Linked DNA regions of Notamacropus eugenii. The protein of the gene in region 2 interacts with the protein of the main gene of each other region in a pairwise test. Links are inferred from orthologs where the notes say so. Each region holds a gene or a part of one and is shown on either strand. Other genes may lie near its edges.

Region 1 (7,018 bases), on a different chromosome or scaffold from region 2:
ATTAAGTAAATCTGCTACAGAAAAAAAAAATACATTTCAACTTCAAAGAATACCCTTGCTTAATGGGAAGAAATAGATATCTTCTCCCCTACATTTTAAGGGTCATTCTGAGCCAAGTAATAATATTGATTCCTACGAAATCAACTTTTATCATGATTATGGCCATGGTACATTAAAATTCAATGCCATTAGACAAAACCTGTATAGTAAAACACGACAGAGAACAGTTGTTTAAAATTTAATATATTTATATGAAAATAGAAAAAAAAAAGGCATGGCTACCATTTTTATCATTTTAAAAGTAAATCTGTCCAAGTTCCAGAAAATACCTTAGAAACAATTCAGTTTCACCATTCAAAACAATTTTACTGACAAAAATTTACTTAAAACTTAATATGAACACAGAAATTGTATTGATGCTTTGCCTATCTACTTACCATAAGCTAAGAGAATAACAGCAGGCTCTATATACATATAGCTCTTTACAGCTTAAAAAACTTTCCTAAGAATATGTATCTCAAATTGAGCTTTTCCAATGGCTGTATAAAAAGGAAATGTTTATAAAAACTTTAACATTTCAAATATGCCATTTAAACGGTTTAACTGCAACTACAAACGTGTGAGAATTTTAAATCAACTGGTAGAAAAACAGAAAATCTCTTAAAGTACAATCCTATGAGATACATTATTTCAACATGCATTTTAGGACCCCTATGCAAGGCACCATAACAAATGCTCATAATTGTGGGGTCTAAAACAATTTAAAATTTTCCAATATTAAAGAGAGAATATTTAGATTGAGTATTAATTCATTTTTAAAAAGTTAAAACCAACTGGCTAAGTAGAAGTTAATGCCTATTTCTGAGACCGGACCATACCTGAGAATTTGTCAACCTAAGCTCCCACAAAACCAAATCTGGTGATAGAACTGCAGAAAGGCATCTCAATCATCTTTGTATGGACTCGTTACTGTTATAGCATTATCCAAATTTATTTTTAATCATATTACTGTCATGCCAACAAATTCAATTTGCAATGAGAATTCCATGAAGGATGAAGAGAGAGTATGTTCTTTAAAATCCAAGTCTAAAGTTTGATTTGATGACTACATTTATGCTGATTAAATAGTGCATACAGTTTCAAACCAAACTCTACAACACACACACACACGGAATGGAGTTTCAAATGTTAACTTTTAAAAACAAGGCAAATGTGGATATCCTCGATCTCATTTTAAAGATCAAAAACTTGTAAATACACGGTCATCATCCCCTGAAGAAGACTGCATTTCTTCTTCTATGTATCCTTTAAGAAACTTCTCCCCAGTACCTTCATTCCACGGATCACTACTCTCACTCGGCAAACCGTCGATACTCAGGAATTCAATTATGCAATATTATGTTGCATTTGATACATTACTTTGTATCTACTTTGTAGCTATTTTCACGGCGCTTTCCATGCTTTGGATTCCCCTACAGCAAACTTCTGATAGGCATTACATCTCCCAAAGCCTAAAGCGGAATACGGTAGTTTTCTCACAAACTATGTGATCTTCTGCAGGTCTCTGAGCTTCAGACTCCAGAGTGTAGGTGGGGTGGGAGAGAAGAGGTTGAACAAGGTCTACATGGTTCCATCCAGTTAATATTAGCTGAATTCAAGGAAAGGTTTATTGGGATTGAACTGTCTCTTATGCATGTCTCCTCCTCCAAATTCACAGTTAAAAATCAATCTCATTTAAGAAAGCCTTTCCCACCAAACCTCTGATCACACTTTTAATAGATGGTTTTCAGTGACATCAGTGATAAACCCACTACTCAGGTTCAGTCGACATCTTAATTAACTAGTTTCATGGCTCATACGCTGGCTTGTAAATAGTTAAATAATTTCACGTTTTAAGTGTTTGGGTTTTGTTTCTTGGGTGTTCTCAACAGACCAAAGTTCTGCTGTGAAGCATTAGTGAAATTTTAAAATTCTGTTGTGATGAGTTAATACTCTCAAAGAGTAAACAGATGACAATACCAGTTAAGAGACAGGACCTCATTTTGCTACGATAGGAAGCAGATCGAATTTGAAGTCCATTTCCTACTCCCCGGCCGGTGAGCGGGGGCACGGCGAGGTGGACTCAGCCCAAGAACCCAAGCCCAATCAAGTTCTCCCCTTCCATCTGCCTCTTTCACTCGGGCGTGATCCCCTCCTTCCTACTCTCACCTGCGGGTTACGAGCTGGGGGAGGGGAGCGGAGGGGAGGAATGCTGGTCAAGCTCCGGCGAACAATACTAGATCCTCGCCAGTCTGCCGGGGCAGGGCAGGGGCAGGCGGGCCCTCCAGGTTCCTCCCCGAGTTCTCAGCCCCGGCGCCGGGCCATCACCCCCGCCCTCTCCCCAGTCTTGCTCCCGCAGACTCCCGGGGCCCCGCACCCACCTTGCTCTTCACCTCCATGGTGCCCAGGCAGCCGCTGCCCGCGCCGTGCCGGGGAGTCCGGTTCATGGTGAGCGCGGGGGGGAGGGGCGGGCCGTCTGCCCCAGGCGGCCTCCTCTCCCGGGGCGAGGGGGCGACGGAGAAAGAGCGCCTCCGGCCTGCGCCGCCCGGTTGGGGGCGCGGACGCGGCTCAGGAGATTCGAGCGGGAGGAGGGGGCGGCCGCGAGCGCTCAGCCTCGTCCTCAGCGGGCGCGACCTCGCGCGTGCCCCTCACGCACCTGCAGTTATCCGGGTGTGGGGGGCGGGGAGTCGCCACGACTGCGGTGCGCGCGCTCACCTGCCGGCCCCGACTCCGGAGGCCCAGGAGAAGCCGAACGACTGACTCCTCCCGCCCGCCCAGGGGCCAGAGCCGCGGTACACAGCCGAGAAGCTCTCCTAGTTGACTGGAATGAAGAGGAAGGGAAGGAAAGGAAAAAAGAGGGAAGGGGAACGTCACGCGCCCCTCCCACCCCAGCGCCCGCCTAGAGACGCCCGGGGGAGCACCTGAAGAGCGGGGGCGGTCTCCACCCCTTCCCCATCCAACCCCTCCTTACACCGCTGTTAAGCAGGGAAGTAGAGCGCATGCGTGGCCGCTGGAGTTTCCGCTGCAGAAGCTGGAGAACGGGGGAGGGGCGGGGGTCTGTGCCGGAAGCGAGAGCGCACCTGGAGGCGCCAGCCCTCGGGCCGTTCTCCCCTCCCCCCTCCCCGCCCCCGAGGCTGCGGGGGCGCGCTCCTGGCCTCCTCCGGGCTGGGGTTCTGGGACGTGGGCGAGTGAGCACCTGCGGTGGAGGGAGGCGCTTAACGCCTTGGAAAGCGCTGTAGAAGTGTCACCTGTTACCCATGGAGAGAGCCGGAGCCTCGGCTTCCGCGGGACGGCCAGGGCGAGAGCTGGGCCCCCGAGCGCTGGGGCCGAGCCGTCGAGTCTCCACACCCCAGCCGCCTCCCGTTTAATTGGAGGCGTCATTTATGACGACCGCTCCCCTTTTGGAGGAACTTGAAAATGAATGCCCCCTGGTATTTAATGGTTCACAGGTTACCGCGGCCAAATAACTCATCCTCTGGGCATGAGCCTTTGCCCGCCTTGCCGGTAGGCTGCTCCTGGGGTGGCACACGCGCAGTTGGTCGCAGGGCCTTCGTATTTGACAGGCCTGGAAGACCCTCGCTACCTGAGTTTAGACTTTTCGCCTAAATTTTGAGCCGCTCCCCGTTGCTAACACGCTGTGTTTTTCCTCCCAGTCCCTCCTCAGTCAGTTCCCTTCCTGGTGCTTTAAAATGCTGTCTTAGCACCTTTAGATATTCGTCACTCCGACCACCAACCCCGACCTGCACTTTTCTAGACTGGACCATCCGGGCCATGTTCTTTGGGTTCAGAAATGTCCGCTATCTTCTAAGTTTCCCTGGTAGAAATAGAACCTATTTTTCACCAACAAATTAACCCTTATCTGTCATCCTGGAGGGGAGAGAAAACCGGAGACTTCTAGAAATGTTTCCCAAAGGGCAAGTTCCCAAACTCCAGAAAGAAGTCCCAGGGTCATTTGTACTTGGACCAACAAATTCTCATGTGAGGTTTATTAAAGATGACTGTGGAGTGGAAAGAATGCCAAACTTGAAATTATGGAAACTAGGTTCATACTCTAACTTTAATTATGTGCTATCTGTGACCTTGGACAAGTTACTTTGCATTTTTAAGACTCAATTTTCTCATCTGTAAAATGGGAATAATCCTATCTTATGGGAGAAAATGTTGCATAAGCATTAAGTCTTAAAAAGTTGCAGAAATGTTAGTTATCATTACTGTGTGCAAAGAACAGTACTAGGAAATACCAAATTTAGCTAAGAGTGTGTCCTTCCTAAATAGTGTTTACGGTTTTGTACCTTGGTGGGAGGGATAAGCCATAAACTGGTATAGCAGAGATTCACCATATTCCTAGTTAAGTGTTTTGGAAAAAAGGATAAAACAAAGATAAATTGCTTTATCTGGGTACTTCCTTAGTTTCAGGTGAGTTATTCCATCGGTCCTGCAGGATAGCAAGATCTTCTAGGTTAGGGACTCCACCTTACCTGGAGGGGAATAAGAAGGGAATTTGCCCCTTGACCTTTTTCACTCTTTCTGCTAACCAGTGAGAAAGTTTCAAAAGAACAGCTCGAACAGCTTTGTGATTTCCCTTAGTTTAAAGAGGTCTAGAGGAGAACTCATAATTTAAAACCACTTGATTTTATATTTCCTACAGCTAGGCTCTTGGGACCTCTGTGTTGTTGTTTAGTTGTGTCCAACTTTTCATGACCCCATTTGGGGTTTTCTTGGCAAAAGTTATGGGAGTGAGGCAAATGGGGTTAAGTGATTTACAAGGGTGACATAGGTAGTAAGTGTCTGAGGCTCGATTTGAACTCAGAAAGATGTCTTCCTGACTCAAGACGTGGGCTGTATCTACTGTGCATCCAGCTGTCCTAGCTGCTCTGTACCTTTAGCCTTAAAATGAGGGCCTTAAAATGAGGGTTGAACTGGATGATCTTTAAGGGTCCTCCCTTCCAGTTCTAAATCTGTTCTAACCTTGTAAGGTGGATTTTTTTCCTTGGATCTCTGAAGTACAAGTATTATTATCATTTTTGAGATAACTCTTAAAAGGTTCTTGGGAGGGGCTCTACATTCCTAAGGGAGGAGGGAAGTATTTGGATCTCTTAAGAAAATTCTTCCACAGCATTTCTGCTTGCCTAGAGGTCTCCTACCACTGCTCTTCAGAGCTTAGGAGAGGAAGTGAGCTGGAGCCCACATAAGTAATTAAAGACCCTGGTTTATGACCTGCTCTTCTCACCTAAATATAAATAGGATTTGTTTCATTCTTTGTATGTTTATCTCATGTACCTGGCACTCTACCTGGCATATTTAGGGACATAATAAAAGCTTATTGATTTATTGATTCATTGATTTGGGGCTGGGGTATGGAGACATTTGGGCTTCTTAGAAATACTACTCATTTGGCCTGGTAACTTGGGAAATGCATACTGGTTTTGTAGAAGCCCACCTATTTCCCTCTCAAAATATACCCTTAAGCCAACAGATCCAGGAGAAAGAGTCTTTTGAGAAAGCCTGTCCAGAAAGTATGGATGGTGGTTTATAACTGTGTTTCAGAACCTCATGTTATCAATACTGATTTATCAGAGTTCTCCTAACAGGAATGTACATAAGCCAGCCTCGTGTGGGCATTGCATTCCTGAAGGTGTTGTCATGCCCCCTCAGGGTGTGGTTTCCCTTACATGGACTTTCCTTTCTAGATGCAAGGGTAAGGCTTATGCTTCCTGGTTCTCCAAAGAGGAATTCACTGAAAGGCTTGCATCACTGTGTAATTAGAGGTGTAAAAAAATAGTTTAAATTTGATAAAGGGGAGGAGGGACCATCCCCTTCCAGGTCCTTTTCCTATTACAGATTCAGCCTGTGATTCAGCCTTTCCCAAGCTATTCAAAGCTCTTGAAGTTATGAGACTGACACTAATCTACCTTCATCCAACCCTCCCCCAAATCCCCATTCACCTCTACAGTAGAAATCTTATATCCTGTTCTTCATTAGAGTACAGCTATTGCATAGTAGGTACTCATTTCATCTGAATGAGTGAATGAGGTCAGAGAGAGACTTACCCTTAGTGAATTTTAAATCAATTCAACAAATATTTATTAAGGATCCTATTTCTGGGTCCTCCACAAGGACAAGATGCAAAATAATCCCTGACCTTAAGGAATTTACATTCTACCAGGAGATATTACAGTTATACAAATAAGTAAATGTAATATAATTTCTGATACCACTCAGCTCCACTAAAATTATTCGGTTTAAGGCATACTGCCAGTCTTTTATCTGCTAAATCTCAAGGTATTAGTCCTCGTCTTTCTGCAGCTTTTGAAACACTTAACCTTCTCTTCCTGCATATTCTCCCTTCCTTGGGTCTGCAAGAGATTTCCACTCTCTTCTAGTTTTCCTGCTTGTCTGAAGTTTCTCTCTCAGTCTCCTTCACTAGATCATCATTCATCATATCCTGCTCCCCATGTGTGGGGCCAATTATCACCTATACGCAGAGACTTCCAAATCTGCATATCCAACCCTCTTTTCTCTCTAGGGAAACCCTTCCCTAGCCAACTAGCTGCCAGAATAAATCAGTGAAAAAGCATTTATTAAGCACTTAGCTTGTGTGAAGCACTGGATATGCAATTAAAAAAATTAGACGAAACAGTTCCTGCCCTCAAGAAGCTAAAGCAAGGTTCTAACCCACCACCCTGGACTTAGGGATGATGAGCGTGGTCATCAGTTAATTAAATGATACACCCTAACTTGGAATAGTAGAATTGAGTGATTTTTGTCCCAAGAGATGGAGATGGAAAATGGGCTAGGTTATGTTGAGGGAGGAAAAGGGCGGGATACCATTAAGATGGTGCATCTGGATAAGCTAGATACGGTAAACTCTCACCAATGATTAGAAGCCCCTGGATCAGGGCAGGACCTGGAGTGACTGAGGAGAGGTGTTTCCTGGAGCATATCTATAAGCATCTCAAACACAAAGTCCAAAATAGAA
Region 2 (7,379 bases):
AAGCAATAATTAGTTATCCCTTCCACATATGATCGAGGGTCAGCATAAGAAATCAAATGGGATATTTGGGGGAGTTTTGCAGAAGCCCCAGATGACGTACCAAAAGCCAGCAGACAAGACAGAAAAATTTAGAAACTAAGAAGCACATAAAATATATGTATAGTTTTGTATGATATCAAGACAAAAGAGAAGGAAATCCGCAAAGCCAAAATACTTCTTTTCTGGCACAAAAGGAGGACCAAAAGCTTTTAGGTGGATTTTCCAGATGGGGGAGGGGGGGCCTATGCCCCTAACCCCTGAGATGTGTAAGGGCTGCCTGAGCATTAGGGCTATTTGAAGTCCAGGCCTTAAAGACCCTTGTGGGTGAGTAAACCCCAGGGCCTCTTCTCCTTTCTCTCTTAGAGATCCAGCACACAGTAAGCATTTAATCAATGCTTGTTGGTTGACTTGATCGACCTCTTCAGCTCCCATGGTTGGGAGCCACCCACATCTGATCTCTCTCGAGCTCCAGAGCATCACTAATTAACTGTTATGGGACTTGCCCAATGGCAAGCATTCTCAAACTCACCACAACCTAATAGAACTCCTTATCTGTCCCCCAAAAAACCATCATTGTCTTCAGTTGAGGGCATCAGTCCCCTAAGTTCAAACTCACTGCTTCCCTCTCCCTCACCCCCACTAACCCATCAGCTGGCAAGTCAAGTGTCAGGCCTCCTTTCATAAGACCTTCTTCACTAACAGTCATACCTCAGCTTCAAGTCCCCTCATTTTCCAAATGGGATGATGACTGTAAGATGTTTTACAAATGTTCATCAGGACAATGGGCCTGTAGTCCCCCAGGTGGTCTACCTGCCTCCAGATTCTCCTCCACACAGAGGAGAAATGGACAGTCCTTAGACACAAGCCCAACCACCAGCTCCAGGGGCTGATGGGCTTGAGAGTTACTTCTGGTCAAACTAGCTTCTTTGTTGTTCCCCAGGACATTCAATCTCCCATTTCCCACCTTATTGGGGAAGGGGGGGGGGGGGGCCTCATGTGTGAAAATCATACCCTCTTGGGATGCCTATCAACTGGGGAATGGCTGAACAACCTGTGGTACTAGAGTGTAATGGAATACTACTATGCTGTAAGAAATGATGAGCAGGCAGATCTCAGAAAAACCTGGAAAGACTGACACAAACAGACGCTGAGTGAAGTGAGCAGAACCAGGAGAGCATTGTATACCTAACAGCCACACTGTGAAATAACTGTCTTTGATAGACTTAGCTCTGCTTAGCAATGCAAAGATCTAAGACAATTCCAAAAGACTCATGATAGAAAATGCCATCCACATGCAGAAGAAGAACTATGGAATCCGAATGCTGAGAGAAGCATTCTATTTTCTCTTTTTTCTTTCTTGTGGTTTTTCCCTTTTGTCCTGATTCTTCTTTCACAACATGACTAATGTCAAAATAAACTTACTGTGATCTGAAACGTATAGCCTACAATCAGATTGCTTGCCATCTTGGGGAAAGGGGAGAGAGAAAAAAATTTCAAAATCTTATAAAAGTGAACGCTGAGAACTCTCTTGACATTGGAAAAAATAAAGTACTATTACGTTGAAAAAAAATAAATCTTAATGTCAATAGTAGAAAGAAAAGAAAAACACCCTCCCCCATCCACCAACTTCCTTCAAGGTTCCATCTGAGTATCCTCAAGGGCAAGCTTCCATGACCCATGACCCATGACTCCTCTACTCCTGTGCCACCAATTACAGGAGGGAAGAGAATTCCAGGTGAGCAAAGTCCCTCCACCAATGAAGACTGGCACCTTCTCAAAACTTTTGAGCTCGGAGAATTGTCAGCACTCGCCCAGGATAAACCTGCCCTTCTGTATTTGAGGCAGGACTGAAACCCAGGCCAGCTCTTCATTGTCTTAAACTCCTCTCAACTTTAAAAAAAAAAACAACTTCAAAATCTGTACTTGGTCTTGAACTTCCTGTCTTCAAAGAAAGCTCCCACACCCAAGATAAATGTGTCCAATACAAACATCGTGCCAGTTGAGGAAAAGTGCAAGTTAAAGGGCCCCTTGTCTGGTTTAAGCAACTACAGGTCAAGAAGGCAGCAAGCCAAGGCAGAGAGATAGAGAGAGAGAGAGAGAGAGAGAGAGAGAGAGAGAGAGAGAGAGAGAGAGAGAGAGAGAGAGAGAGAGAGAGAGAGCGCGAGCTGGCCAGAGCCAGGGTCTAGTCCACACCTTCCACTCACAGGCTCTGTGTGCCAGACAATTCTAAGACATGAAGAGGCCCGTCCGGACTGGGGAGGGAATGTTCTCTGAGAGTTCCAGACACTGATGAAATCACAGGTCCAGGCCTATTCCCCATGCTTTCCAGAGTCAGTCTTGCTGGATTGCCTCAACATTCACAAAGCACCATGGCACAGGGGCAATTGGAGGCTGAGGCCTTGGGTGGGAATCCCCTCTCTGCTGCTTCCCAAGGCCAGTCATTTCAGTCAAGAAGCATTTATTAAACACCTACTGTGTGTCAGAGCTAAGCACTGGGGGTAGCAAGAAAGGCAAAAGACAGCCCCTGCCCTAGGAGCTCCCAGTCTAACGGGGGAAACAAAAAATATATACAAGATAAACTAGAAATCATCAGACAGATGAGCTGGAATTAAGGGGATTGGGAAAGGCTTCTACTAGAACAGCAGAACTGAGTTGGGACTTGACAGATGCCAGGAGTGGCTCAGTTTTCTCACCTGTGAAATGGACCTGCACTCAAGTTACCTCTTCAGGCTCCTTCCAGCTCAAAATCCTACATCATCATCCCAAAGGCAAGTGGTACCACCATGCAGGGTGGGAGGCAGACAGCTGGTTAGGAGTTCTGCTGGAATACCTACCTGACGGTCACCACCCATCCAGGCAGGAGGCACCCTGGGATGCACTTACTGATTCTGTACATGTCAGATGACAAGGTATAAGTCCTTGAAGGGCAGGGACATGGAGGAGCCCAGGGCCCGTTAAGTGCTGAATCCACGTTCATTGATTGGTGTGGCTCTGCTGAGAACCAGCCCTGTCAGCAGTAAGAGGAAGTCAGGTCTTACTTTGTTCCTCTAGTCTTGAACGAACCTTGGTCTGGCAGGGAGGTGTCAACACTCCCCATCTCTAAGGCTGCCTCGTAGAGAATGAAGCATGCTCTGAGGGCAGCAGGCTGGCCTCAGGGGGTCTGTGATTACAGGATCCCCACAGACCTCTGGGGATCACCAGCAGGCTCAGCGAGGCTCCTCCACAGCAGGAGGCACAGTGAGGGATGAGAGGCCCTGGGAGGCGAGGACATAGAGTAGGACACTGGAATGGCCACGGGAAGAGGCAGCAAAAAGCAGAGATGCCACTGGACAAACCAGCAGAAGCATGGGAGAGTTACCCAATACACATCTCTGATGGGGGGGCAGGGGGATGCTTTCATGATATCTTCATGTTCATACTGGATCTTCCTTCAGCAACACCCTGGGATTCTGAAGGCCACAGGTCACTTTTTTGAAAAGCCGTTTGGTGGGAAGGAGTCCATTTAATGACATTCTAGCTTTTGTTTCTAAGCCTTATAGGCCACTCTACCGTTAGTCCCACGTCTCTGCCCTGTGCGTTGTTTGTTTTTTCCCATCTACTCCTCGGCTGTCACTGGGCTTGTCTGTAGAGGACTCTCCCTCCCTTCTCGTAATTACCGGCTTGGAAAAGGGTTTGTAAATCCAATTCAATAAACATCTATTAAGCATTTCTCTTTTGTCGCAGCCCTGAGTTAGTTTCTGGAAAAGATACAAAGATTAGATAAGAATCCTGGGGGTTAAGTCCTCAGGAGGGTCTCGCTGAGGATGAGATACAACAGAAAATTGTGATGCTAAAAAATGAACAGGCTTTGGCAAGGGCCTTTCTTACTCACTCTGCAATGGCTACCTGGGCCTTTCTGTATTGGAGACACAGCCATCAATCCATAAATAGTTGTTAAGCCCCTGCTCATGTGCCAGGAACTGTGCTAAGTGCTGGATGTGTTCTTTTAACATCACAAACATTAAGAACCTATGGACAAGGCACTGTGGCAGGTCCTGGAGATACAAAATCAAATCCTTGGCCTCAAGGAGTGGACATTCTACCAGGAGGGAAAAGGGAGGGGAGCATGGACACTTTTTTTTTTAACCAGACTTGTGGCACCTTCTTTCTTGAGTCCATCACTTGGGTTGCTGGAGGGTTTAGCTTCTGGCCCTAGGTCATGCGGTCCAAAAATATATAAAAAGCAATATAGTGTAATTTCAAGAAATGGGAAGCAATGTCATGGACAAGCCAGGCACCGCTGTCGGAGCAGCTCACCCAAGGCAGAGAGAGTTCAGCCAAGTCAAGGAGACTGGGGGGGGTGGAGGAGGCTGTTAACCTGCATACAGATGGCTGAGATGCTCACGGAATAGACCTTGAAGCAGAGTAATAAAGGAAGAGAGGGAAGGCTAGATGCCCTTGGACTCCCAGTGCTTACAGTCAACTCTAGAGATAACCCCCTAAAACCTCAGTAAGTGAGAAGATCTCCCAGAGGGGTGACAGAGAAAAGAAGATGGCCCAAATGGGCCAGTGAGAGCCCAATCAGACACATGACCTCTGCCCATTAATGCCGTTACTAAAGTAGTCAGAAAACAAATGTACCAACAAAAAACAGTCTTGTCAAGACTTGCAAATATGAGAAAAATTCTACATATTTCCTTGCAAGGCCAATTTCAAACACAGCTATTCAACAATGTTTTCCTAATTGTACAATGCTGGTATAGGCAGGAAAATCTTTAAAATTATGACTGCTCAGTATAGAGTACTCTGAGAAATGTAATTTTGGAAAACATGTTTGTAAAACCCCCTGTATATTTTGTGATGCAATCTACCTGGTTCCCTCACTATTTTACTGGTAAGTCCTGCCCCACTAAAGCAAAGCTCACCATAAAAAAGCTTATATGATGTTAATCTCTCACTAACCAACAGAACTTTTTATTCTACTTCTGTAAACGAACAAAGTAATGACTAAGGAAATCCAAGGAAAAGCTCCCGTGTGTGTAAAAAAAAGACAAGGAAAAAGCCAATCTCCTATTTAAATACTAGAACAAGTAATCAAATTAAGTGTGTGGTTTAAGTTTCTTTATCTGGAGAAGGCACATTTTCATAAAGATCAAGTTTAAAGGAACTTGAAGGTCCTCTTCCTGGGGAAAAAGAGTGGTGAGTCATTTTTTTTTTTTTTTACAAAATGATCCCAGCTGCTACAAAGAAACACAGCTTGAGGGGTAGAGGGGGGCCTTGGGGTGCAACTGACCCACTGATCTCTCAGAATGAGGATATCAGTCATGCTTGGGGGAAATGTCTTCTGGTAAAGAGAATTCTTTAAAATATGAAAATCAAGTCAAAGGTGTCCTAGTTAGACAACCTGTTTAGTAACCTGCTCCTTCAGTGACTCATTGTCGTTTCAACAGTACAACCTCTGGCTGGGTATATTGCTAATAAAGATAGAGTCCTCATTAAGTCTGATTTCAGGACAGGAAGCAGAGAAATGACCAATTGAGAGAATGTTTAAGTACAGGAGTGACGCTTCAACCATGGCTCTCTATCACAGCTGAAGAAGGATCAAAGTGATTGTGGTCAGAAAGATTCCTGGCTCACCTTAGCAAAAGTCACCCTTTTTAAAGTGGAGGGGAAAGCTTACCTAAAAAACTGAAACCACAGGCCAACAGTAACACTTCCTATTGGTCATCACGCTTTGGAATTTACAAAGACATTCCTGAACAGATGAGCGTCTCCCTTCCTGACCTTGATGGTGAGAGAAACAAGGGATCTTAATTCCAACCTAGGTTGTTAAGCACAGTCACCTCTGTTTCTTTCAAAATAAACTAGAATTTAGTAAATCTGGTTATTAAATAAAAACATTTAAAATCAATGTCTCATTTCAGACAAACGTACACACAAAATGTTTTTCCCACAGTGCTCTGTGGGAGTCATGGCTGGCTGCAAAATCTCAAAATCCCATGAACTCCCCTAAGAATAAGAGCCCATTAAATAACACCCACACATTTAGCCAAGGCATGTAATGCTTTCTCTGTCTGTGTACATGTGAACTGTTCAATGTGATCTTAAGCTACTACGAGTCCTAAGATGAAGCTACAACTCCAAAGGTAAGAATTCACAAAACCACACAAACAAAAAGTCCAAACATTTCATTAAGAATCATTTGTGGGGACTCGATTTTGTTGGAATACAGAGGAGGGAGGTGGCAGGCAACTAGGACCTCCCTCTTACAGGTTCCCCATTCACAATCCTCACTGATCCATTCCGGAATGTACACACTGTACAGTCAACCTTTTTTTTTTTTAAGCCACTGACTTCTGCCTGGATAAATAAGCAACAAGCACACTGGTAAAGGTGTTTGTTTGGAAAACCCCCAAGCTGGTCTCAGCAGTGAACAGCAGCCACAAGGGCAGGCACCTCACAAAACAACGACCAAGTGAAAGCTGTTCAACTGAACTGGAAGTCTTCAATTTGGGGGAGAAGAAAAGTTCCTAAAGTTACAACATTCTTTAATCAAGTATCACGGCTGAACTCTTTTCCCCTAGGGGAGATGGGCCAACATTAGCTAAGGTGATGAGATAAGAAAAGCCCCACGGAATTACCTTCAGTGCCAGGAGGTGTGGGATGGTTTTCTTCTCACCTGGCAGGGCTCTCATCCTAAAACCAAGTTCTTGGAAAGCCAGCAACACCAGGGAGGGGCTCCCCAAATAACCATTCTCAACAAATCCCTCCTAAATCTGGGGAGATCGCATCATTCACTCAACCATTCAGAAATCCCTGGCAGCCCCAAACAGGTAATGAACTTATTATGGCCGTCCTCAGGTAAAGTCCACGTGCGTAACTTGGTGGCTTTTCCTTTTGTTGGGTATGACTTCAGGCATGCCCACTTCAGCTTACCACAGTCTAAATTGGTCCTGCAGCCTAGACCCAAGGGAAAGCAAGCCAGACTCAAAGTCTTCATTTGAAACTCCTGCCACATGCCAGCCCAAAGCAAGGCCTATTCCTGCCCATGCAGTAGGGGAACCCCACCCAGGCCCCCTTGAGAGACTCAGCACCCCCTGAGCCAGCCCACCCCAGCCACCTTGACAAGCAGGCCATGGCCAGTCCAGCCAACGGGCACTCTGATGCTGAGGACAGAAGAGCGAGCTGACCTTCAAGGGCCTTACAGCCTACAGCAGACCCAGCCATGAGGCGCTCCTTGAGGGTCCAGGTGGAGAGCAGAGAAGGCCAAGATCCTCCAGACACCCCCAAGCCCATCTCCTGTACTGCCAGGCACAGGGGATCAAGAGTGATAAAAAAAGGAAGCCCTCAGCACCTCACAT
Region 3 (7,658 bases), on a different chromosome or scaffold from region 2:
AGCAACCAACAAGAAGATACTACAGGATTTTGGCCAGAGGAGTGCCATGAAGAGCTTTATGCCTTAGGAAGGATGGACTGACAGAGGAGGGAAGATAAGGAAGGAATACTTGTTAAGCTATTGCAACAGTTCAGGTTGGTGGTAAGGAAGACCTGTACCAGGATGGTGGTGGTAGGAACAGAAAAGAATGGTCAAATGTAAGAGATACTGCTGAGGCACAATTGATAAGAGCTGGTAACTGAGAGGCCAAGGAGAGGAAGGAGTAGGAGATAACAGCAAGATTTCTAAGGTGGGAGTCCAGGTGAACAGTGGTATCAATGACGAAAAGTGACATCAGAAAGTTTAGGGGACAGATAAACAGTTCAGTTTTAAACCCATTGAGTTCCAAGTGCTGGCAAGAAAACCTGGTAAAGGTGTCCTGTAGGTGATGCAGATGTGTTTCTAGAGCATGATAGAAGTGAGAGCTGATGACAGAGTTCTGTCATCTGTACAGAGATGATAGCTAAAGCTACTTCAAGGGATGGGGCAAATCACCACCCAGTAGTGGGGAACCTGCAGTCTCAAAGTCACACATGACCCTCTAGGTCCTCAAATGTGGCCTACTGAATCCAAACTTCACAAAACAAATCCCTTTAATAACTCTTCTCTGCTTGGTAATAAAGCCTTAGCTTCCAAGGAATCCTGCAGGTTATTTGTTTTAGGAGTAAGCAAAGGGACAGGTTACTTCTGATTGGATGAATGGCTCTTGCTCAGGTCCCTGAGAAGTCAGCACCCACTCACCTACCTTCAAGAAACCAAAGGATTTTAAACTGTATTGTTTGTAATGTGCCTCCACTTAACTCAGCACAGGCTTGGTAGATTTCATGTGGATACTTCCAAAAGAGGTGGAAGAGGGGGGAATGACAGAATCTGCAGTTTGCTTTAAAGGGGGGTTGGAGAAGATTACATCCAGCTTCCTCCTGACCATCTTGCTTCTACAGCAGAATGAAAGAGAATAAGTATGTAGTGCCTGTTACAGAATGTCTAACGTTTGTCTACCTCCTGCCGTTCTGGAATTCGGGAGCGGGCCCCGGGCTCTTCTTTCACCCTCTGAAGATGTGAATTGAATCTTGGGGGGGAAGCAGGTTCAAGACTCTCTCGTATCTAGATCTAGTTCTAACACTATGAACACCTAAAGTGCTGGCCTTGTCGTCCCAGCCAAGGGTTCTCCACTCTTCCTCGCCCCTGGGCCCCCTGCAGCACGTACTGCTAGCGAATCCCGGCCGGCCAAAGCAGTAGTGACCTGACGGGTTTACAATCCCGCGGGCGCCCCACGACGTGGGGAAGCTTCGACAGTTTCGGCTGGTTTCCAGGAATAACAGAGAAGTCGCGAATGCAATAGTCTCCAAAGACGCAGAGAAGCAAACCTTCAATGTACCTCACTGCCTTCCCCTACCCCCACCCACAAAGAGCCTCGGGTCCAGAGGAGCCCGCACAGTCTCTCCAGGAGATAATGACCCGACACAGACAAGCGCGTCTGCAGATGAAAGCAAGGAAGGGAAGAGAACCTTCCCCCACAGAAGAGAGAATTGGGCAGATCATATCAGACGATTACACACACACACATCAGACGATTACACTTACACACACACACACACACACACACACACACACACACAACAAACAAGTTTAAACAAGCTCTCAGAAGCAAACGAGCTGGGCTCAGTGCAGGCAGGCAGGCGAGACTGACTCACTAGTTAGGATCCGCCAGAAGCCTTCAGTAAACTGCCCCAGCCAGGGGCACAAACAGCTAGCGGGGGTGGGGGGCAGAGAAGAAAGAAGGGAGCCAGCAGGGCAGACTTGGGAGGGGAGATGGAGAGGGGAAAAGTGAGGGGGTATCTGGATTCCTTCTTTTTGGAAACATTTCTCCCCTTGGAGCTTATAGGAGGGGGTCCTTCCCGTCCCCGACCCCCAAATCTTCCATCCATTGATCCTAATCCCCAATAAGCCCTCAGACTGTCAGTCCAACCCCCAAAACGATGGTTAGCCCAAGAAATGCCGCCCTCCTCTCTAGCCTCCGCGTCTCGGGTTGCTTCTCAGTCCGACTAAACAAAAGAGCAAATTTAAATTGAGTGGGTCGGCAGCAGTAACATTTTTTCCATAGTTTCCCTGCCCTACGGACGCGCTCAGATCTAACGGGAATCTCCCCCCAGTTGCAAATCCAAGCTTTTAACTCCACAAGGAAGACAGTGGATAGACAGGGAATCTACGAGCCTGGCTGGTTGCACTGTGGCTGCTGAAATCTGAGAGCAGCGAACCCCAAACACAGGCTTACACTGCAACAAAACTTCTCCCTCGCTCTCTGGGTTGCAGAGGGGGGACCCTCAGTCCCCATTGCGGTTTGCAGGAGAGGTCGCACATTCCTCGGATTCCCCAGCACAACCCCGGAGGAGAAAAAGGTGGACCTGTTACTTGATCTCAGAAACATCAAAAGAGCGCAAAAAAAGTTGTCACTAATAATTCTCTCGCCTCCCACTTTTCTAAAGTCACAAAACGCCAAAGAATCTCCATTCATTTGCAAGGGGGAAAGAGGGAGAGAGGGCTGAAACAGGACTGGGGGCTGGCATTCAGCCTTGCTTACCTTACTCTTGACTTCCACTGCGTTGCAATCGAAAAACCGCAGACTCTGAGATTTATTAAAACTCCGATTCATTTTTTCGGTCCCGGTTATCTCTCTTCTTCGCCCTTGTTCCACAAGGGCTGCAAAAAGCTGATCCGTATGTGGGAAAAGCGCCCCCCTCCCCCGCCTGTGGCTGGTCCCCCGACTGCAGGCGATTTGATCTTTCTTTGGAACGCCGCAGCCCCGAGAGAAGTCTCCACTTCGCCCCAGCGCTCTGACTGGAACGCCCGCCTCAGTCTCTCCGTTCTCCCCAGGCTCGGGTAGGTAAAAATCGCCCCAACAGGGCTCGCAGCGCGCCGTGACTCAATGGGAAGAGAAGCGAGGAGGGCAGACGCCTGCACGTATTGCTCCGCCTCACTGGAGAACCCGCCCCCTTTTTCTCCTCCCCTTCATCATTCCATTTCCCTGGAGTCGGGAAGCTGGCTGCTGCGGCTGCTGCCCATGCCGCTGCCTTAGCAGGCTCGTCACCGGCAGAGGACGCGCGCTCTGTTGTCAGCAGTTCAGCGGCGAAATTCCTGAACCCGAGGCAAAGCCACACAAAGCTCGGGAAACTGCAAGCCGGGTTTTCTGGCCAGTGAAATGTGCACCGCACCGTGGAACACCTACCCCGGCCAAGCTTCCCGGCTTCAGCGACCCGCGAGATCGAGGGTCTGCTCGGCCTTTGTTTCCTTTCATCCACCATCCCTTCTAAAGAAGTATTACTATTTTTGTTTTGGTTTTTTGGGGTGGGTTTTTTGGGTTTGTTTTTTGTTTTTCCTGCTCCCTTGGGTATTTATTTAAGCTAAGCATAGCAATGAAAACCACAAGGGGAAAAAGAAAAGGAGAAAAATGCATTCCCTATTTAAAAATTTTTTAACTTGGAAAGTCAAGAATAGATAAAATCGCGGGGGACGGGGGCAGAGTGGGAGGGGGAGTGAAATATCTTCGGATGGTCTACAGAAATGTCATTGTTCCTTTCTGGCTCAGGCCCCGAATACTAAACAAATTCCATTCAAGAAGTCTTGGGGGGGGGGGGGGGTTCGAAAACCTCCCCGAGAATGGATTACTGTGAGAGTTTTACCTCTGCCGAGCTCCCAACCCCTATCCGCTTGAGGAGGGTGGGGGGGGAGACACACAATATGCCTCGGTAGCAGAACCTGGATAGATATGCTTCAGACCTGGATTCAGGAAGACCTGAGTTAAAATTCGACCTCAGACACTAGCTTTGAGACCCTGAACAAGTCACTTAACCCTGTTTGCCTCAGTTTCCTCATCTGTAAAATGAGCTGGAGAAGGAACTAGCAAATCATTCCAGAATCTTCCAATGATAATAATAATTACTAACATTAACATCATGATTGAAGGTTTGTAAAAAATGCTTTACAGATATTTAATCTTTACAACAACTGATCCCATTTTAGAGATGAGGAAACTAAGGGTAAGAGACATCAAAGGACTTGCTCAGGGTCACACAGCTAGTAGGGATCTGAGGCAGAAGTTGAATTCAGGTCTTCCTTGTTCCAAGTATGGCAGTCTATCCTCTATGCCGCCTATTTGCCTGCCTACTCAACTGAGCTCAGAGGCCACTTCTATGAAATCTTTCCACCTCCCCAGTGGTTAGCCAGGATTATTAGCTGGTAAATCTGGCTTTCCAAAAGAAATGTACACATGACACACTTTTAAATTTAATCTGCCTCATTAACATTTTCTTCCTCATTTAAACTCTAGACAATTAGAAAAAATAAGTCAAGCCTTGATAGGTAGGATTTGCAGATTTTCAAGATGCTTTCCTCAGTGAGTTAGAACTGGCTCTAGCATACCCCTGGGTCCTCCCCTGTAATATTAATATAAGATTCATGGGGGGGAAAGGGAGGAAGAGTTAAGATCTTTCCTGCCTATTAATAGGCCTCAATGCCTTTTGTTAATTTCTGTTGAGGCGCTCGGTCACAAGGGTCCTGCCCTCCAGCTCTGAAAAGTGTATAAATACTCTGAGGTGAGGTTTTTACACTGGAGCATACTTGTTAGAAGTGTTTGGCCAGATGAACCTTTGGGCAGCTGATAAGGAGAACCCTACCCCCCCTCCCCTTTGCAAACCCGGGTGTTGGTGCTTCTCTCTCTGGTAACTATGTATGTATGTAATGGTCAGACAGTTGGATCTGTCTGTTGATCTATGATGTATATATTTGTTACGGTCAGACAGTTGGAAGCCCTGTCTGTTGGTCTTTATTTCTCTGCTTGTATTTTCTCCGTTGGTATATGTGTTTGATTAAAGTGATTGTTGACCCCTCAAAAGTTGCTTTCCTTTTATAAAAGCAGATCTAAAAACCTGTACAACAGGCCCACCTGTGTATGCCAGGGCCCTTGCTATTACATCCCCCTCTTCTAATTACTCCACATTGATTCATTAGTGTACTTGTAACTCCCAGTAACATGCAAGTTCCTTGAGCACAAGGATTATTTTCTTTTTCCTTTTTGTATTCTCAGAGATGTATGGGGAATTCAGGGAGGACTAGCACTATAGTGTGAGGGCTTGCCAAGGCCTTTTCAAAGTTACTCATCCACCTTTGGTGTCTACCTGTCACCCAACTATCATTTGTGGCTCCAAGAAGTTGTAGCATGTGCACTGGCCACATCTCAGCAAAACTGTCTCAGGAGACAGACTAAACTAAGTTGAGGGGAACCAATGGTCTCAAACCTGTTGTTGAATTGGGAGGGGGGAGGGGTTGTATGGGGAGTGTCTACCCCAGGCATGTGAAGACTTCCCTGGTGACAGATGAGAACACTTTGTTCTAAGGGTCATGAAAGTGGTTGAAGCAGGTGCTATGAAGTACTTAGAGCTTGGTTAGACACTGAAGACACCAAGGTCACCCACTGCAGCCCTGGCTATCCAAGAAAAGTTAAAAGGGGAGAGGAGAGCCCTCCTACAACCCAATACCCTGCCCTCCGTATCCATCCTACACTGCTCCCTCCCCTCTCTATTTTGTGTGCTTCTAATCAAGGCAAAGGGAATTTGGGCAAACAAATATGGCCCCACATTTCTAGCCCTTCCCTTTGGTTTCATTTTTTTGTCTGCCGAGGTCACCCACTGCACCCTGGACCATTGCCAGTTGTCTTGACTTGTCTTAGTACTGGACTTTGATAAGTCTGAAAGAGAGAGTGAGGCAGATGACTTTGGGCAACTCTGCCTCACTTAAGTCCAGTTCAGGTGCAAGTCAAGACATCACCCCATGATGTCATCAGTACTCTTTAAAACACAGGATAAATAACATCCTGAGCCCAGAGTTCAGTTGAATTGGCCTCCAATTGACATTGACTTAAAAGGCAACTGAAGAAATCATCTAGTCAAACCACTTTGTTTAAAGATAAGGAGAAATGAAGCCTCTGAGAAGAATTTTGATGTGGTCAAGGATACACAGGCAGTAAGCTACACTGAGGCTCTGACTCAAGGATTGTACTTCCAAGTTTAGGCCTCTTTCCACTATATCACTACATTGTCAAGATAAAGAAATGAAGTCCAAGCAGGAAAACATCAGCAATAAACTTGTAGGTTCAGTCAGTCAGTCAGTATCTACTAAGTGCCTCTTATGTGTGAGGTACAGTGCTAAACACAATATATAGAAAGAGAAGAGGGTTTTTTTTTTTTCAGGAGTTTTGGATTTGGGAGAGGAAAGATTTAGAGCTTCTCTGAAATCTCTGCTCCACAAAAAAGCTCAGCGCCTAGGGCAAAACCGGAGAGACAGCTCTGAACATAAATGTTAGTGATAAAAGATTTTCTTTCTATACAAGGAAAATGACAATAACTTCTTCAATACTTTAAACATTTATTTTTTTGTTTTTCAGCAAAGACCCACCCTCCACTGATGAAGCTCACCATGCTGTCCGTAGCCTTCATGGTAGCTATGCTGGAATTTATTAAGGCAAGTCCTTGAACAAAAGATATGCCTATTACTGTCCAGGATTTATTATGGACTTTAGTACGCCTTGAAATCCTTCTGCTTTCCAGTTTCCCCAAGTGTTGAATTCTTCCATTAGAGGAGAAGCTCTTTAAAGGAAAGGACTGTCTTTCTTTCAGCTAGTGATGCTAATCCTAACAATTAACCCTGTGCCTAGCTCTAACTCACTAATTACAAAATGTTTTCCCCAAAATAACCTTGTAAACTAAGAAGTGCATCTACTATTGTCTTAGGATCATAGATTTAGAGCTACCAGGTACTTTAGAGGTCAAGTCCAACACCGTTATTTGAGAGAGACAGAGACAGAGATAGGCAAAGACAGAGACAGAGAGATAGAGACAGAGTGAGATATTAAGTTGCTCAGTGGTATCCAACTCTTCCCATGGACCATAGCACACCAGGACCTTCTGTCCTGCACTATCTTTTGAAGTTTGTCCAAGTTCATGTTTGTTGTTTCTGTGTATACATCTTATCCTCTTCTGTTCCCTTTTTCTTTAATATTTCCCAACATTGGGGTCTTTTCCAATAACTACCATCTCATTCCAATAACTGCCACAGTATTTAAGCTTCAGCTTCAGTATTTGACCTTCCAGTGAACAGCCTGAATTAATTTATATAAGTACTGGCTGATTTGACCTCCTTCCTGTCCAAGAGATTCTCAAAAGTCTTTTCTAACACCACAATTCGAAAACATCAGTTCTGTGGTGGTCAGCTTTCCTTATAGTCCAACTCTCACAGCCGTGTTCTCATCTGACAGCCATGTTTTCTTCTGAAAAAAAACCATGGCTTTGACTATATGTTGGCAAGGTGATATCTCTGCTTTTTAGAAAGAGATAGCATTAATTAAGTGTTTTCTATGTGCCAGGCCTATTCAAAGCACTGAGGATAAAAGTACAAGCAGCAAGACAGTTCTTATCCCTAGGAAGCTTACTTTCTAATGGGGGGGGTGTCACTTAAAAGAAGGATGGTTGTGAGCAAGATAAGGCTTTGAAATCTCATCCATTAAATCCCAGGGATCTAGGGACAGAGTCAATCAGTCAGACAATAAGCATTTATTAAACACCTAC

What was found.
Region 1: the proteins of PRKCI (region 2) and PARD6B interact in binary tests that used the Homo sapiens proteins (3 or more experiments, as listed by UniProt). The link is inferred for Notamacropus eugenii from reciprocal best matches to the Homo sapiens genes PRKCI and PARD6B.
Region 3: the proteins of PRKCI (region 2) and PARD6G interact in binary tests that used the Homo sapiens proteins (3 or more experiments, as listed by UniProt). The link is inferred for Notamacropus eugenii from reciprocal best matches to the Homo sapiens genes PRKCI and PARD6G.

The regions. Positions count from the first base shown.
Region 1 is NC_092872.1:516,101,014-516,108,031, forward strand, and holds the start of PARD6B (partitioning defective 6 homolog beta), read right to left. Parts: upstream 3,045-7,018; 5' UTR 2,487-3,044; coding exon 2,421-2,486; intron 1-2,420. UniProt on the Homo sapiens protein: Adapter protein involved in asymmetrical cell division and cell polarization processes. Probably involved in formation of epithelial tight junctions.
Region 2 is NC_092877.1:353,921,582-353,928,960, forward strand, and holds the start of PRKCI (protein kinase C iota type), read right to left. Parts: upstream 3,050-7,379; 5' UTR 3,017-3,049; coding exon 2,874-3,016; intron 1-2,873.
Region 3 is NC_092875.1:199,840,185-199,847,842, reverse strand, and holds the start of PARD6G (partitioning defective 6 homolog gamma), read right to left. Parts: upstream 3,019-7,658; 5' UTR 2,693-3,018; coding exon 2,621-2,692; intron 1-2,620. UniProt on the Homo sapiens protein: Adapter protein involved in asymmetrical cell division and cell polarization processes. May play a role in the formation of epithelial tight junctions. The PARD6-PARD3 complex links GTP-bound Rho small GTPases to atypical protein kinase C proteins.